Linked DNA regions of Arabidopsis thaliana. The protein of the gene in region 1 interacts with the protein of each later gene in a biochemical or structural test. Each region holds a gene or a part of one and is shown on either strand. Other genes may lie near its edges.

What was found.
Region 2: the proteins of PEPR2 (region 1) and AT5G51560 form a complex in vitro, tested with the Arabidopsis thaliana proteins (one large-scale study listed by BioGRID).

The regions. Positions count from the first base shown.
Region 1 is NC_003070.9:6,102,908-6,111,648, forward strand, and holds PEPR2 (PEP1 receptor 2), read left to right. Parts: upstream 1-3,415; 5' UTR 3,416-3,748; coding exon 3,749-6,644; intron 6,645-6,730; coding exon 6,731-7,101; 3' UTR 7,102-7,213; downstream 7,214-8,741. Other genes in the region: PGDH (D-3-phosphoglycerate dehydrogenase), read left to right, coding at 424-511, 737-1,213, 1,305-2,072; CSTF77 (Tetratricopeptide repeat (TPR)-like superfamily protein), read right to left, coding at 7,301-7,473, 7,648-7,839, 7,939-8,103, 8,192-8,269, 8,357-8,423, 8,519-8,671. UniProt on the Arabidopsis thaliana protein: Acts as a receptor for PEP defense peptides. Unlike typical immune receptors, senses an endogenous elicitor that potentiates PAMP-inducible plant responses.
Region 2 is NC_003076.8:20,943,222-20,951,334, forward strand, and holds AT5G51560 (Leucine-rich repeat protein kinase family protein), read left to right. Parts: upstream 1-2,454; 5' UTR 2,455-2,585; coding exon 2,586-3,024; intron 3,025-3,599; coding exon 3,600-3,860; intron 3,861-3,967; coding exon 3,968-4,828; intron 4,829-4,910; coding exon 4,911-5,392; 3' UTR 5,393-5,718; downstream 5,719-8,113. Other genes in the region: AT5G51570 (SPFH/Band 7/PHB domain-containing membrane-associated protein family), read left to right, coding at 6,290-6,484, 6,586-6,706, 6,809-6,900, 7,331-7,427, 7,640-8,013.

The sequences.
Region 1 (8,741 bases):
ACAAAAAAAGGGATTGAATCATCTTATTTGGAATTTATTACAAACCCATGCATCGGTAACTGAAGAAATAATTCGATTACCTGATATATTCTCTCTTTAAAGTTTCAATCTCACGCGTCACAACCCATCAGTTCCACCCATTTTGGAATTTGTTTTTTTTTTTTTTTTCCATTTTGGAATTTTGTCATGGCAAATATCATTTTCTCGAGTCTTTGTTGTCTTTTTTTCTTTTTAAAAACTTTATATTCGTTAATAGTTTATTACAATTTTTAAATTACCTTAATTATTGATTCGGCGTATATAGTGCAACTTGATTAGCAGAAGAATATGGGATTCTTTTTACAATATACAAATTTGTAGATATTTTAGTACACAATATACAAGTGGGTCATTAAAAAATAATCATGCATCATAATTGATAAGACTCAATTATTTGTTTCTGGTACTACTGTTAAGGTGGAATTGTCGTCAGTCAAAGCATCAATATACGATCGAGACAGAAACTGAGAAAGTGTAGACATTACAATACCATTATCTCTTCTAAGTCTTAATCACTTTCACTTAAAAATCACTTTTGTAAAATTTGAGTTATTCTTCTTCTTCTGTAATCTAGTAAAAAAAAAAATTCTAAAAAATAAAATCAATTTGAGTTGAACTGAGATGACTCCTCCATCAAGTAATACCGAGGCGGTTTCTGAAATTTGGACATTTGGATATTTTTACAGGAAAATGGGAGAGGAGCAAGTACGTCGGTGTATCTCTCGTCGGAAAAACCTTGGCCGTGATGGGTTTCGGGAAAGTTGGGACGGAGGTGGCGAGAAGAGCCAAAGGTCTAGGCATGACCGTTATCTCCCACGACCCTTACGCGCCAGCTGACAGAGCCAGAGCTCTCGGTGTCGATCTTGTTTCATTCGATCAAGCTATCTCCACCGCCGATTTCGTCTCCCTGCACATGCCTTTAACTCCGGCCACCAAAAAGGTCTTCAACGACGAAACTTTCTCTAAGATGAAGAAAGGTGTGCGTCTCATTAATGTCGCTAGAGGTGGCGTCATCGACGAGGATGCACTCGTTAGAGCTCTCGATGCCGGAATCGTTGCTCAGGCAGCATTAGATGTGTTCTGTGAGGAACCACCATCGAAAGATAGCAGACTAATTCAGCATGAAAATGTTACTGTGACACCTCATCTTGGAGCTAGCACAAAAGAAGCTCAGGTATCATCACTCTCTTGATCTTGTTTATGTTACTTGTTTCATCTCTCTACACTTCTTTTCGAGTTTATATAATTCCAATGTGATATTTTAGGAAGGTGTAGCCATTGAGATAGCAGAGGCTGTAGCAGGGGCATTGAAAGGAGAGTTATCAGCTACTGCCGTCAATGCTCCAATGGTGGCTCCTGAGGTCTTGTCTGAGTTGACTCCTTATATTGTCTTAGCTGAGAAGCTTGGGAGGTTAGCTGTGCAGTTAGCATCTGGAGGTAAAGGAGTACAGTCCATTAGGGTGGTCTATCGGTCAGCTCGTGACCGAGATGATTTGGATACTAGACTACTTCGTGCAATGATCACAAAGGGAATCATTGAACCGATCTCAGATTCATATGTCAACTTGGTGAATGCTGATTTCATAGCTAAACAAAAGGGTCTTCGTATTAGTGAGGAACGAATGGTTGTTGATTCATCACCAGAGTACCCTGTTGATTCCATCCAAGTTCAGATTTTGAATGTGGAGTCAAATTTCGCTGGTGCTGTCTCTGATGCTGGTGATATAAGTATTGAAGGGAAGGTGAAGTACGGAGTTCCGCATTTAACTTGTGTCGGATCATTTGGTGTGGATGTGAGCCTTGAAGGGAATCTGATACTGTGCAGGCAAGTGGATCAACCAGGGATGATTGGACAGGTTGGTAACATACTTGGAGAACAAAACGTGAATGTGAATTTCATGAGTGTTGGAAGAACAGTGTTGAGGAAACAAGCGATAATGGCGATTGGAGTTGATGAAGAACCAGACAACAAAACACTTGAGAGGATTGGGGGTGTTTCTGCGATTGAAGAGTTTGTGTTTCTTAAACTATAAAGTTTGAGATGGAGTTGCATTGTGGTGTATGGAGAATAAAACTGTGACCCGGATTAAGGTGTTTTATCCAGTGGTTGTTAAGCTGTAGAGAATCTGTGGTGTTGCGAGCGAGTGTGTGTATCTTGGTATTATTACATTGTTCTTGTTTTGCTTTCTTATGGTATGTAATGCCTTTGGTTAATGTCATGTTTCTCTTGTAAAATGCTTTTGCTTATATTTTACGATGAACCGTTGGACTTGAAAACAAAATTCCTCCATCACTACTCAATGGATTCGCATTTGGGTCTTTGGGGGTTTTAGTCTTAGGATGTAGGTGGCCTTGTGATCTTGTGACAAAATGCAATCTGCAAACCTCATTGGAATCTAATGTGAAAACCCTTTGAAGTTAAATTCAAATTTCAACATCATGTAAAGGAAATATACCAAAGAAGTGGAACATATATAAAACTTAAAGAAAAGTGATAGAAGACAGAACAAGGACCACCACTCTCTAAATCCTTATGGTGAAAATCACATTTTCTTTGTCAACTATGAAAATTTATGAACTACAGTATAATTATAGGGTTTGGTGATGGAGACATATATAGAAGTTGTTATTAAATTCGTTTGGGACCTGCAAAAGTGACGACCAACCAACTTAAAATCGAAATGGACAGTATGATATTTCCAAAATAAACGTGTTAAAATGTTACAAACGAATATTGTATACATTAAAGAAAGTATGATTCTTCGTTGGGACTTTTTTGACTTCTCAATACCATGAGACGACCAAACCAAATTGAATTCAGTTAAGGAATTAGATAGATTATAATATGTAATGGTGCACGTCGAATGATTGAGTTATGTTGGTGGAATGAATATAGAATATCAATTTAAAGATGATCATTGAGTCTAATTAAGTTGAGAATGCGTGTTATCTTATTTTAGTAAGAGTAATAGCATCCTCCCAAAATGATGACATTTTGTAATAATGAGAGAAATAAACATAATAATTCCATAAAAGAGAGATATACAAGTGGTTTAAGACTTTTAAATAGACTGATGAGTGCTCCACTATCTTAATATTGTTAACAGGGAAGATCAAAATTAATCTCTCAATCAGTTTTGACATTATGTTTTTAATAAACCATTTTTGTTTTATGTGAATATGGTTTTGTTAATAAAGTACTAGTTAAAATTCTAGTGTAGACGACAGATACCAGAGATCTTGATTAAATTCCAATATATAATGTTTATGAAAGATTTAAATCTAACAAAGTAACAGTAGGATGAAATGTCAATAGAAAATTAGCGTCCAAAGAAGCTTTCTCTTGAATAAGCTAAGAAAACAAAACGTGGAAAATGGAATATTTAAAACCACGAAACAGTCTCCGAGTAGTAATGGAAATAGCGAGAAAGAAACACGAAACAGCGTTGAAGGTCGCCAATTCGTAAAGTTAGGTTCACAATCTCTGACGAAGAGTTAACCAAAAAGCGCGCTCTTTTTCTCTCTCACCAAACTCATCGATCGTTTCTTAAATAATGCAATCTGTTCCTGTCACTAAATCCAGATACCCTTTCAAATCCAAAAGCTCTCTCTTTTTTTTTTCCGCCTCTCATTCTGGGTTCAAGGGTTGTTGAGTGAGGTTACTACGTACGAGTGTTTCATATTTCAGTCTCTTGAGCTCTAATCTCAAATGAGGAATCTTGGGTTACTCGAAATTACTCTGCTTTGCTCTCTCTTTGTCTATTTCCGTATAGATTCTGTCTCTAGTTTAAACTCAGATGGTTTGGCTTTACTCTCGCTTCTCAAGCACTTTGATAAAGTCCCACTTGAAGTAGCTTCGACGTGGAAGGAGAACACATCTGAAACCACTCCATGTAATAATAACTGGTTTGGTGTCATTTGTGATCTTTCTGGTAATGTCGTCGAGACCCTTAATTTGTCTGCTTCTGGGCTTTCAGGCCAATTAGGTTCTGAAATTGGGGAGCTTAAGAGCTTGGTCACATTGGATCTCAGTCTTAACAGTTTCTCTGGTTTATTGCCTTCCACTTTAGGAAACTGTACTTCACTTGAGTATTTGGATTTGTCTAACAATGATTTTTCTGGAGAAGTTCCTGATATTTTTGGTAGCTTGCAGAATTTGACGTTTCTGTATCTTGATCGCAATAATCTTAGTGGTCTCATTCCTGCAAGTGTTGGTGGGTTGATAGAGCTCGTAGATCTGAGGATGTCATATAATAACTTGTCTGGTACCATTCCAGAGTTGCTTGGGAACTGTAGTAAGCTGGAATATCTGGCTTTGAACAACAACAAGTTAAATGGTTCTTTGCCAGCAAGTCTCTATCTACTCGAGAATCTTGGTGAGCTATTTGTCAGTAACAACAGCCTTGGAGGGAGGCTTCATTTTGGTTCTAGCAACTGCAAGAAATTGGTTTCTTTAGATCTCTCGTTCAATGATTTCCAAGGCGGTGTTCCACCTGAGATAGGCAACTGCAGTAGCCTTCACTCTTTAGTCATGGTGAAATGCAACTTGACAGGTACAATCCCATCATCAATGGGTATGTTGAGAAAGGTTTCGGTTATTGACCTTTCCGATAATCGTCTCTCGGGGAATATCCCTCAAGAGCTTGGGAACTGCAGCAGCTTGGAAACCTTGAAGCTGAACGACAACCAGCTCCAAGGCGAGATACCACCTGCATTGAGTAAGCTAAAGAAGCTACAAAGCCTGGAGCTTTTTTTTAATAAGCTGTCCGGTGAGATTCCTATTGGCATATGGAAGATTCAGAGTCTGACACAGATGCTCGTTTATAACAACACTCTCACCGGGGAACTACCAGTTGAAGTAACTCAGCTGAAGCACCTTAAGAAGCTTACACTGTTTAACAACGGCTTTTATGGAGATATACCAATGAGTTTAGGCCTGAATCGAAGCTTAGAGGAGGTGGACCTTCTTGGTAACCGTTTTACAGGGGAGATACCACCCCATCTCTGCCATGGACAGAAGTTGAGATTGTTCATCTTGGGTTCTAATCAGCTTCATGGTAAGATACCAGCGTCTATTCGTCAGTGTAAGACCCTTGAGCGAGTCAGACTTGAAGATAACAAACTTTCAGGTGTTCTTCCGGAATTCCCTGAGAGTCTTAGTCTTTCCTATGTGAACCTCGGAAGCAATAGCTTTGAAGGATCCATCCCGCGCAGCTTGGGAAGCTGTAAAAATCTCTTGACTATTGACCTTTCTCAAAACAAACTCACGGGTCTGATACCTCCAGAACTGGGAAATCTGCAAAGCCTTGGACTGTTGAACCTTTCACATAATTATCTGGAAGGTCCTCTGCCATCCCAGCTATCAGGCTGTGCGAGACTTCTGTATTTTGATGTTGGATCCAACTCATTGAACGGTTCTATTCCATCAAGCTTCAGAAGCTGGAAAAGCTTGTCCACTTTAGTTCTCAGTGACAATAATTTTCTAGGAGCTATTCCACAGTTCTTGGCAGAGCTTGACCGACTCTCAGATCTGCGGATAGCTCGAAATGCTTTTGGAGGTAAGATTCCTTCCTCGGTTGGCTTGTTGAAGAGTCTACGCTATGGCTTAGACCTCAGTGCGAACGTATTTACGGGTGAGATTCCAACCACACTGGGGGCTCTTATCAATCTTGAACGTCTCAACATATCCAACAACAAGTTGACAGGGCCTTTATCGGTTCTTCAAAGTCTTAAGTCATTGAATCAAGTTGACGTCTCGTATAATCAGTTCACGGGTCCAATACCCGTAAATCTGTTATCAAATTCTTCAAAGTTTTCTGGAAATCCAGACCTCTGCATTCAAGCTTCTTACTCAGTGAGTGCCATAATCCGCAAAGAGTTTAAATCTTGCAAAGGTCAAGTCAAACTTAGCACGTGGAAGATCGCCCTTATAGCAGCTGGGTCCTCACTATCCGTATTGGCTTTGCTTTTTGCTCTCTTTTTGGTTTTATGCCGGTGCAAAAGAGGAACCAAGACAGAAGATGCTAATATCCTCGCAGAGGAAGGTCTGTCCTTGTTGCTGAACAAAGTTCTAGCAGCCACTGACAATCTAGATGACAAGTACATCATTGGAAGAGGAGCTCATGGAGTTGTTTACAGAGCTTCTTTAGGATCAGGCGAAGAATACGCCGTGAAGAAACTCATCTTTGCGGAACACATTCGCGCAAACCAAAATATGAAGCGGGAGATCGAAACAATCGGGCTAGTCAGGCACAGAAATCTCATTCGGTTAGAAAGATTTTGGATGAGGAAAGAAGATGGCTTAATGCTGTATCAGTACATGCCCAATGGAAGCCTACACGACGTTTTGCACAGAGGTAATCAAGGAGAAGCAGTTCTTGACTGGTCTGCACGGTTCAACATAGCCCTTGGGATTTCACATGGACTGGCGTATTTACATCATGATTGTCATCCACCAATAATTCACCGCGACATCAAACCAGAGAACATACTCATGGACTCGGATATGGAGCCTCACATTGGAGATTTCGGATTGGCTCGGATTCTAGATGACTCAACAGTTTCAACGGCCACTGTTACTGGCACAACTGGGTACATTGCACCAGGTATATATACTTCTCAACATAACACGTTCGTATTTTGTTCACCGTTACCTTATTCATGCTCTGATGACCATATTTCTATCAAACAGAAAATGCGTACAAGACGGTGAGGAGCAAGGAATCAGATGTTTACAGTTATGGAGTTGTTTTGCTCGAGCTGGTAACAGGAAAGAGAGCACTGGACAGATCTTTCCCGGAAGATATCAACATTGTGAGCTGGGTCAGATCTGTATTAAGCAGCTACGAGGATGAAGACGATACTGCTGGTCCAATCGTTGATCCAAAACTTGTGGATGAGCTTCTGGATACGAAGCTCAGGGAACAAGCAATCCAAGTCACAGACTTGGCTCTTAGATGTACAGACAAGAGGCCGGAGAACAGACCATCGATGAGAGATGTGGTGAAAGATTTGACTGATTTGGAAAGTTTTGTAAGAAGCACTTCGGGTTCAGTTCACTAGTTTCATAAGTTGCAGGTTTATATAGTGTACTGTTCTTTGAAACCACTAATATAATTGTAACTACCATTGAATACCGTGAAGATTTGAGAAACATATATATCCAAAGAGACTTAATTTTATTGCATAAGTTGGAATTGTTGGGGGAAATAAATTACAAGTATTAAGAGAGGCTTCACAAATTTGCCAATCTCAGTATATTTTAGCCAGTGCTACCAGAAAGCTCGCCAGAGAAGGCACTACCATACGATGTGGAACCGGTTGGTGTCTGTGATGATGTTGCGATCCCTCGAGCTTTCCGCATCTGCCTTAGTCTGAAAACATCTGTGGGCAAAGGCTGGCTTTGTACAGTTGCTGTATCATCTTCTTCTTGCCCTGTTAACAGAGAGATAGAATAAGATAAGTAACTATCATTTAACGGTTGTTCTAAGGGATAGTAGAAGTTATATGCATCTGCAGCTAAGAAGTGCCAAACATTTGAGTGATGACATAGTCATGAGCCATAAAATATATATACTTGAACATAAACTATAAGCATATGTAACTTACTGTCTGAATCTTTTCTCTTTGTAGCTCTTCTGTCTCTTGGTAATCTTTGAGACACACCGCGGGTTGGACCCGAGGGATCGTTTTGACTTGGAGGATTGCCTTTAGCAGCAAAACTCTGCTTTACAGTTTGACCTGTTGGAAAGTCGCTCTGCAAACATATCGACAGAACAACATCCACATTGGGTGTTGGACCTGCGAATTGAGAAGATAATGATAAACTAGTTGGTTAGTGGACACTTATTCAGGTGCTCAGTTCAGATACAACTTGGAGTTGGTTTTTAAGAGATTTACCGTCCACAATAGGCAAGTTAGCTAAAAATGCTACCAATGCAGGTGGAGTAGTCTTTGGTATTTCGTCAAATGTGCTGGCTGATCCATGAGTTGCAGTTGCAGTCACAGTACTTGGGAAGGTGTTCGAAGCAGAAGCTGCCACTGGGTTTGCAGAACTAGCAAACTCTACAGTCAAATCATGAGTGGTTCAGAATAAGTTAACAATTCCATTCATCGTGCAGCCAAATATTGCGGCAAAGTGCAAATCAGATACCTGATTTCTTTGTCGGGTCTTGAACAACCATCTGAGATGTATCTGGATAAACAACTTTTGACGAAGAAGCTACACTACCTGTCAGCCCAGAAGGCGGTTTATTTACTTCAGTCATCACCAAAGTTTAACATAATCCATCACACCAGAAAATTAAAAAGAACAGACCTATAGCCGCAGGAACATGAGGTAGATTTGTTTTCCCTGCTTTCTTATTCAGATTCTTCACAAGCAACTATAGTGAACACATTGATCGGTTAGAATTAGTACTTACTAGATGTATCATTAGTAGCTATTTGAGCTAATTGCGATATGTTGCATGGAAAATACCTCTTGTCTGGCTAAATGATCAAGGTCGTTAGAAGTGCATGGCCAAAGATCCATGTAACTGTACCGAGAAACAACATCTTGAAGTGAACTCTCTGGAGGAGAAGACCCCTCTTCCCCTTTTCCAGAAAGTGCTTCTTTCATTCTCTGCTCAACCTACAACAAGGTTGTCATAGTAAAGAAAATTTATGAGCAAAAAACTAAGAAGATAAGCAGACTACTCCAT
Region 2 (8,113 bases), on another chromosome or scaffold:
ATTATATACTAGTCAGCAAGCAGAATCGTACAGCTGAGATTGAAAGCTCTCTGCTAAAATGGGCCACTAAAAGTTTATTTTTTGGCTATTGGTGGGTCTCACTTGTTACACTGACGTTACGGTGACACTGAAGGACAACCACTGACGCCAGACAGGCAACACCTGGCATATATGTGGATTTATACGCTGACCTGGCAGTGTTGACTCCTTGTTTTAAATGACACGTCATCTGAGTGTGAAAGAGACAGACGTCGCGTGAATTTTGCGGGACTTTTTTTAACTCCCTAGACCGCGTGTGAAGTGTACGCTCCGGTGAATGGTGAGGCCCATCGTTAGTTTTGGTCGTGTTGCATTTAATTCGTTTCATAATGTTCTTTTGTAGACTTTAGTGGTGAATTTAATTATTTTGTAAGGTGCGATGACTTTCTTGACAGTGGAAATTTTTTCACGTTTTCACAAACATGCATGATTGTTTATTTTCAGTTCGATGATTAGTGACCTGTATTTTAAGTGACAGTGAACAGGAATCTCGTTTTTCACCACAGTTAATTGGGATGCGATTCTTGTTATCTAAGTTAGAATCGTGGATGCGATGATGAAGTTTGTATTTTCTATTGATATTGTTTTACCCAAACCCAAGAGTCGAGAATGAATTTTTATGTCGTTGCTATTTATTCTGAACTTATGTCGTAAATGTTGGGATCAATAATTTAAGGTGACCGAGTCGTGACCCACATGAGTGTCGAGTGATTATTACAGCTTCGGTGAAAACGAGTGAAAAGTGAAAACGCAAACATTATTTTTAGGATCTTCTCTTTTGCTCACGAAGAATTGTAGTACTATTAGATAATCTCATAATCCTGAATGAGTGTTTTTAGTGGGATCACAATCCGAAATGACTATTTAAGCGTTAAGATTCAAAACAACTTCACATATATATAACCTTCAATGACTTCAATTTAATATATAGTTTGAAATTTAGTGTGAAAATCAAAATAATCGAACCTCGTTAATATTTTTAGTTTCATTCATGTTAAGTAATTCAAGCCAATTTTCCTTTTATAGTTTCTCTGCATGCAAATTTATATTTAAAGTGCGTGCATGTTGCATCACTTCAGTAATATGGTAGAATGCAAATTCGTTAACCGTCTCTATAGTTCATGACTTCATGATAGCATAAGAGATAAAATGAATTCAGGGATTTATGTGTAATCATTAAGGAATGAGAAAGTCACATAAAGCATGTAAAATAATTTTTGGGTCGTTATTTTTTTTTACTACGATGAATCTCTGCTCTCTTTTATATATTTTAGTCATGACTGAATAATGACAGGCAATTTTAATAATTTAAGATAAGTATGCGGTATGCCATGATCGGTAGACGGTAGCTCAATACAATTCCGACACAGAAACTAGTTTTTTTTTGGGTATTTGATAATGGGCCTTTTAGCAATTTTCTAAAGCCCAAATTTATTATTCTTGCTTCACGCAATATTGTTTAAAGCCCAATTTAGAGAACATGATTTCCATTCCGAATTCGTCGCCCAGTCACTTATTAGATTAATAGATTGCATTGCATTGCTTGTGCTTTCAATTTACAAATTGTCTCCCAACTCCATCGACACATCTCTTTTTGTGTATATAAGATTCAGACTTGTTATATTTTTTTTATAAATATGTTATTAGCATCTTAAGTTAAATTGATTTTTTATATCTGCATTAAGGATTACACGACTATATTTGCGATTGTGTGTTGGTTAAAATATAATTTAGGATTGTCTTTAACTACATTTAGGATTATATGACTATATTTGGTTAAATATAAAATCTAGCTGTGATTATTAGTATTCAAAAATAAGTAGCCTAACCAATTAAAACAACGGCTATTGGGGCAAATTAGAACATTTTAGTGTGTCCAAAATATAATGGTCATTAGGTCATATTCCTCCTAGCTTCATCGCAGCATAATTGAATGATTGCCTTATTTAGAAGAGCTTTTCCACTTTCCCAAAATCTATGTGGGATCTTTTTGTTTTGACCTTCATTTTTCTTGTTTACCATTTTTAGCTAAATTATTTACGATTACAAAAGATATCAAAAGTTGGATCATAATACAATTTATAGACTTACTGTAGAAAATTCGTATGTACAAGTACAACAAATTCTTCATAATAAATTTTGAAAATTCTATTACAAATGTTGTAAGAAATAGAATTTGAAATATATATAAACTAAGGAGAAAAAAAAAGAGAACATGCATTGCTCTAGTCAGAGTGGACCAACATCAACGAGATAAGATAACATAAAAACCAACTCACCATAACTAAAAACATCCCAAGAGATCCAACGATTCATATCAAACACAAAAACATCGAACGATCAGATTTAAACCATCTCTGGTATCTCCAAAACACAAACACTTTTTTTTTTCTTTTGTCTGAATGGAACAAAAGCATGCGACATCTCTGTGTCTTTATCTTCTCTCTCCTCTTCTTGAAAAACTGAACCTTTAATTCTTTCTTCACATCTCCTTTAGCTTTCTGAAGCTGCTATCTTCAAGCTCAAAACCAAACCCTAGAAATAAAATGACGGCGACACAAATGCTGCTTCATCTTCTTCTTCTTCCACTTCTCTTCCTTCACTTCAGCAACCAAGTCATGGCAGAAATCACCGACGAGTTAGCGACATTGATGGAGGTTAAAACAGAGCTTGACCCAGAAGACAAACACTTAGCTTCATGGAGTGTTAATGGAGATCTGTGTAAAGACTTTGAAGGTGTTGGTTGTGACTGGAAAGGACGAGTTTCTAACATATCTCTACAAGGGAAAGGCTTATCTGGTAAAATCTCTCCGAACATTGGAAAGCTTAAACATTTGACGGGTTTGTTCTTGCACTACAATGCTCTTGTTGGAGATATTCCTAGAGAACTTGGTAACTTGTCGGAACTTACGGATCTTTATCTCAATGTTAATAATCTCTCCGGTGAGATTCCTTCAAACATTGGGAAGATGCAAGGCTTGCAAGGTTAGTTCTTTTTTACTTTAATTTTAATCTTAATCATTGATTAAACTTAAAACCTAAATTTAGCATTGTTAGATCTTTGGTTTCTGCAAAATTCTTGTCCCAAGATTAATCAATGTTCTGTGGAGATTTGAAACCTAGAAATCTGAGCTCCTTGTCTTAGGGGTTTTAGTTACTTCATTACTATCTCTGGTAGTTGAAATTATTTGAATTAGATGATTTTGGAATTTAATGCTTTAATGATCTGTCTTTAAAACGTCCTTTTCATGTCTTTTTGTTAGGATTTTTCTTTTTGTAATTTTCCTGTAAGGAAGAATAGTCAAGAACTTTTTAAGATTCAAACTTTTAATTGGAACCATAAATGGCTTACTGGTCCCAAAATATGGACTTGAATTGAAGATAACTTGTACTTCTCTTGATTAATTTTGTTTATTTAGATAATTGATTCACTTACTTTCAAAAGGCTTTATATTTGAGCTTTAATTAGCAGGACCAGGTTTCTAAATCTAGAATTAGTTCTAAGTTAATGTAAGTCAAAGCTAAGCTTCATTCCTTTTTTGGTCTATGTTGTTGTGTAGTTTTGCAGCTCTGTTACAACAATTTGACTGGAAGCATTCCTAGGGAGCTTAGTTCACTGAGGAAGCTGAGTGTTCTTGCTCTTCAATCTAACAAACTCACTGGAGCTATACCTGCGAGTTTAGGAGATTTAAGTGCTCTAGAGCGGCTAGATTTGAGCTACAATCATTTGTTTGGTTCTGTACCAGGCAAGTTAGCTAGCCCTCCTCTGCTTCGAGTTCTCGACATCCGCAACAACTCCCTCACTGGCAATGTACCTCCTGGTTAGAAAACTGATTCACTATATGATCTTTGAAACTAACTTTGCGTATTTTGTGAAGTGTTTCTCATTTTGGTTTATATTTCTTTCTCTGTTGTACCGATTTGACAGTACTGAAGAGATTAAATGAAGGTTTTTCGTTTGAAAACAACTTGGGACTATGTGGAGCTGAGTTCTCGCCGTTGAAATCTTGCAATGGCACAGCTCCTGAGGAACCTAAGCCATACGGTGCAACCGTGTTTGGTTTTCCATCCCGGGATATACCAGAATCAGCTAATCTACGGTCACCTTGTAATGGAACAAACTGTAATACTCCTCCAAAATCTCACCAAGGTGCAATCCTTATTGGTTTGGTTGTCTCGACTATTGCATTGTCTGCTATTAGCATCCTCTTGTTCACGCATTATCGCAGACGCAAACAGAAGCTTTCAACCACTTATGAAATGTCGGACAACCGTCTCAACACCGTAGGAGGAGGTTTTAGGAAGAACAATGGTTCTCCATTGGCCAGTCTTGAATATACTAATGGTTGGGATCCACTTTCAGACAATAGGAATCTCAGTGTCTTTGCTCAAGAAGTTATCCAGAGCTTTCGATTCAATCTTGAAGAGGTTGAAACTGCTACACAGTATTTCTCAGAAGTGAATTTGCTTGGAAGAAGCAACTTCTCTGCGACTTACAAAGGAATCTTGAGAGATGGTTCTGCTGTAGCGATCAAACGGTTTAGTAAAACAAGTTGCAAATCTGAAGAACCTGAGTTCTTGAAAGGACTCAACATGTTGGCGTCTCTGAAACATGAAAACTTGTCAAAACTTAGAGGCTTCTGCTGTTCAAGAGGCCGTGGAGAATGTTTTCTCATCTATGATTTTGCTCCTAATGGAAATTTACTGAGCTATCTTGATCTCAAAGATGGTGATGCGCATGTTCTTGATTGGTCCACGAGAGTATCCATTGCTAAAGGCATCGCAAAAGGTATGAGTTTTATTTATGCCGAACCAATTTTGTTAGCGTTCTTGATTCATTTTTGTTTATGTGTTTGATGTTTTGTGTTTAGGGATTGCTTATCTACATTCATACAAAGGAAGCAAGCCAGCATTGGTTCACCAAAACATCTCAGCGGAGAAAGTTCTAATCGACCAGCGATACAGTCCTCTACTCTCAAACTCAGGCCTCCACACACTTCTCACAAACGACATTGTCTTCTCTGCACTCAAAGACAGTGCAGCAATGGGCTACCTCGCTCCAGAATACACCACAACCGGACGTTTCACCGAGAAAACCGATGTCTACGCTTTCGGGATTCTTGTGTTTCAGATAATCTCCGGGAAACAGAAGGTTAGGCATCTTGTTAAGCTTGGAACTGAAGCTTGTAGGTTCAATGATTACATAGATCCAAATCTTCAAGGAAGATTCTTTGAATATGAAGCCACAAAGCTAGCTAGAATCGCGTGGCTATGCACTCATGAATCTCCCATTGAAAGACCATCCGTGGAAGCTGTAGTTCATGAGCTAGGTAACTGTAGTAGCTGTCTCTGAGAACTCTCTCGAGGCAAATGTGTAATGTGTACCTTAGGAATCAATTAAGGAAGGGTTTGTTAGTCACCTTTTCCTGTGTTTAGGGTTAAGAAAAAGGTGCCTTTTCCCTTCCCATTAACGTTTAAAAACTGTTCAACGTGTTGTACTTTATTGGTTTGTATGATTTGTGTTTATGTTAAGCTCTTCAACCTTAGAAGAAGACAAGACAAGTACATTACTTTTAAAAAATTTCGGTAGATGGAAAATATTTATGGTACTTTGTCTTCTTTTTTTTTTATAACTTTCTGAACCAATTTATTGTCAATAATTCAATATAGAAAAAAAATAACGTATAACATTTTTTTTTCTGATATTGATCAAATCAATATCAAAAGAATTGATTTGTTAGATGGTTTTGATTTAGATTTGGATATGAGCTTTAACTTTTAAGTCTTTATTAGTCATCTAGATCTAGATACAAATTTATAAATATAAAGTCAAAGGTTAACTATTAGCATTGGCCACCAGATTCGAATAATTTACATGATTTTTCTAGACTTCAGGATTAGATTTTGGACCTAGTAAATTTTTAGAATTACTTGAGTTATTTGAAAGAAATAAATTAAATTATTAGTTGTCCACAAAAGACAGAAAAAAATATCAAATTATACTTTTCATTGGTCAAAAAAGGATTATACCAAATATCTAAGGAAGGAAGATATTGTTGATATAGCTAATTAATCAGTAACTAATCCTAACCGTCCATTTCTCCTCAAACCGCTTGATCTAACGGTAGCAAAAGGCTTCGATCACATAACACCATTTGTTTCCATAGAAACGAACGAGTCGTGGAGATTTATAAGCGAGACTTCTTCTTCTTCTTCTTCTTCTTCGAAAGCTTGAGAGTGCTGCGTAAAAATGGGTAATACGTATTGTATCTTAGGAGGTTGTATTGAACAAGCTAGCGTTGGTGTGGTCGAACGTTGGGGTCGATTCGAGCATATAGCTGAACCGGGATGTCATTTCTTCAACCCTCTCGCCGGTCAATGGCTCGCCGGAGTTCTCTCCACTAGGATCAAATCTCTTGATGTCAAAATTGAAACCAAAACTAAGGTTCGTGATCACTTATTCCTTTTGATCCTTTGCGAATTTTGGTTAATACTGTATGTGGTGAGATTCATGTAAATTAGGCTTATTGTCGTTGTTGTTTGTAGGATAATGTGTTTGTGCAGCTGGTTTGTTCGATTCAGTATCGTGTAGTGAAAGCTAGTGCTGATGATGCGTTTTATGAGCTTCAAAACCCTAAAGAGCAGATCCAAGCTTATGTCTTTGATGGTAATTTTTTTGCTTCTCTGTTGATGTTTTTTGTTTCTTTGTTTGAAGAAGCTCTGTTTTGATTCTTGATTTGTTCTTGTATGTTTGTTTTTTGAATCATAGTGGTTAGGGCTTTGGTCCCAATGATGACGCTTGATGCTCTTTTTGAACAAAAGGGTGAAGTTGCCAAGTCTGTTCTTGAGGAGCTTGAGAAGGTATAACATCTTGTTCCTTCACTATCTCATTCATTTGTATGTTTAGAGACTATTTATTCATAATAGGATATAAGATATCTGTTTTGAGATTCTTGATGTTTTGTAGTGATCCTGCATTTGTTGAGCTAACTAATAGGTGGATTATCAAGTAGGCATGTTTGGATTTCATAAAGAAAAGTTACAACGTTAAGTATATGTTTGGTTTTGTTCAAGACTATGTTTTCATTTGTGAGATTCTTGATGTTCTATCGTGATCCTGCATTTGAGATAACTAATGGGTGAATACTGAGTCTTGTGAAGTGTTATCATAGATATGTGTGGATTGCATAGAGAAAAGTAATAACATATATTCGAGGGTAGCCTGCTTTCGAGACTGGTGAAGACTTTTGTAATGGTCATGACTCATGATTGGAGTTGTTTGTTTCTTCAGGTGATGGGTGCTTATGGATACAGCATTGAGCACATTCTAATGGTTGACATTATTCCTGATCCCTCTGTACGCAAGGCAATGAACGAAATCAATGCAGGTAACCTTTATTTCCGATACTGAGGGAATCAGTGTCTGATACTTTTCAGGTCTCTAATGGTTCCCTACACATCAAAGCACAGAAAGATTTATACATTTTATGATTATAGGACTCAGTTAGATGTTTCGTTAAGAGTTTATGCGAAGTTAATTTACAGTTTGTTGACTTCATTTCAATTTTGCTTCTCAAATCCATTCTCTACTTAAATGCAGCACAAAGGCTCCAGCTCGCGAGTGTTTACAAAGGAGAAGCAGAGAAGATTCTCCAAGTGAAGAGAGCCGAAGCAGAAGCGGAAGCCAAGTACTTAGGTGGTGTCGGTGTGGCTAGACAAAGACAAGCAATCACAGACGGATTGAGGGAGAACATATTGAACTTTTCTGACAAAGTAGAAGGCACATCCGCCAAAGAAGTGATGGACTTGATCATGATCACACAGTACTTTGACACTATTAGAGACCTTGGAAACTCGTCAAAGAACACAACGGTGTTTCTCCCACACGGTCCGGGACATGTGAGGGACATCAGCGACCAGATACGCAACGGTATGATGGAGGCGGCCGCTAGTACTCAGGTCAACGACGTCTAGAGAGAGATTCACTTCGGCTTGTGAATTGAATTTGCTACTTTTGCTTTCACTTGACTATGGTTTAAATTATGTTTTACTAGAGTGAATTTGTTGGATTTTG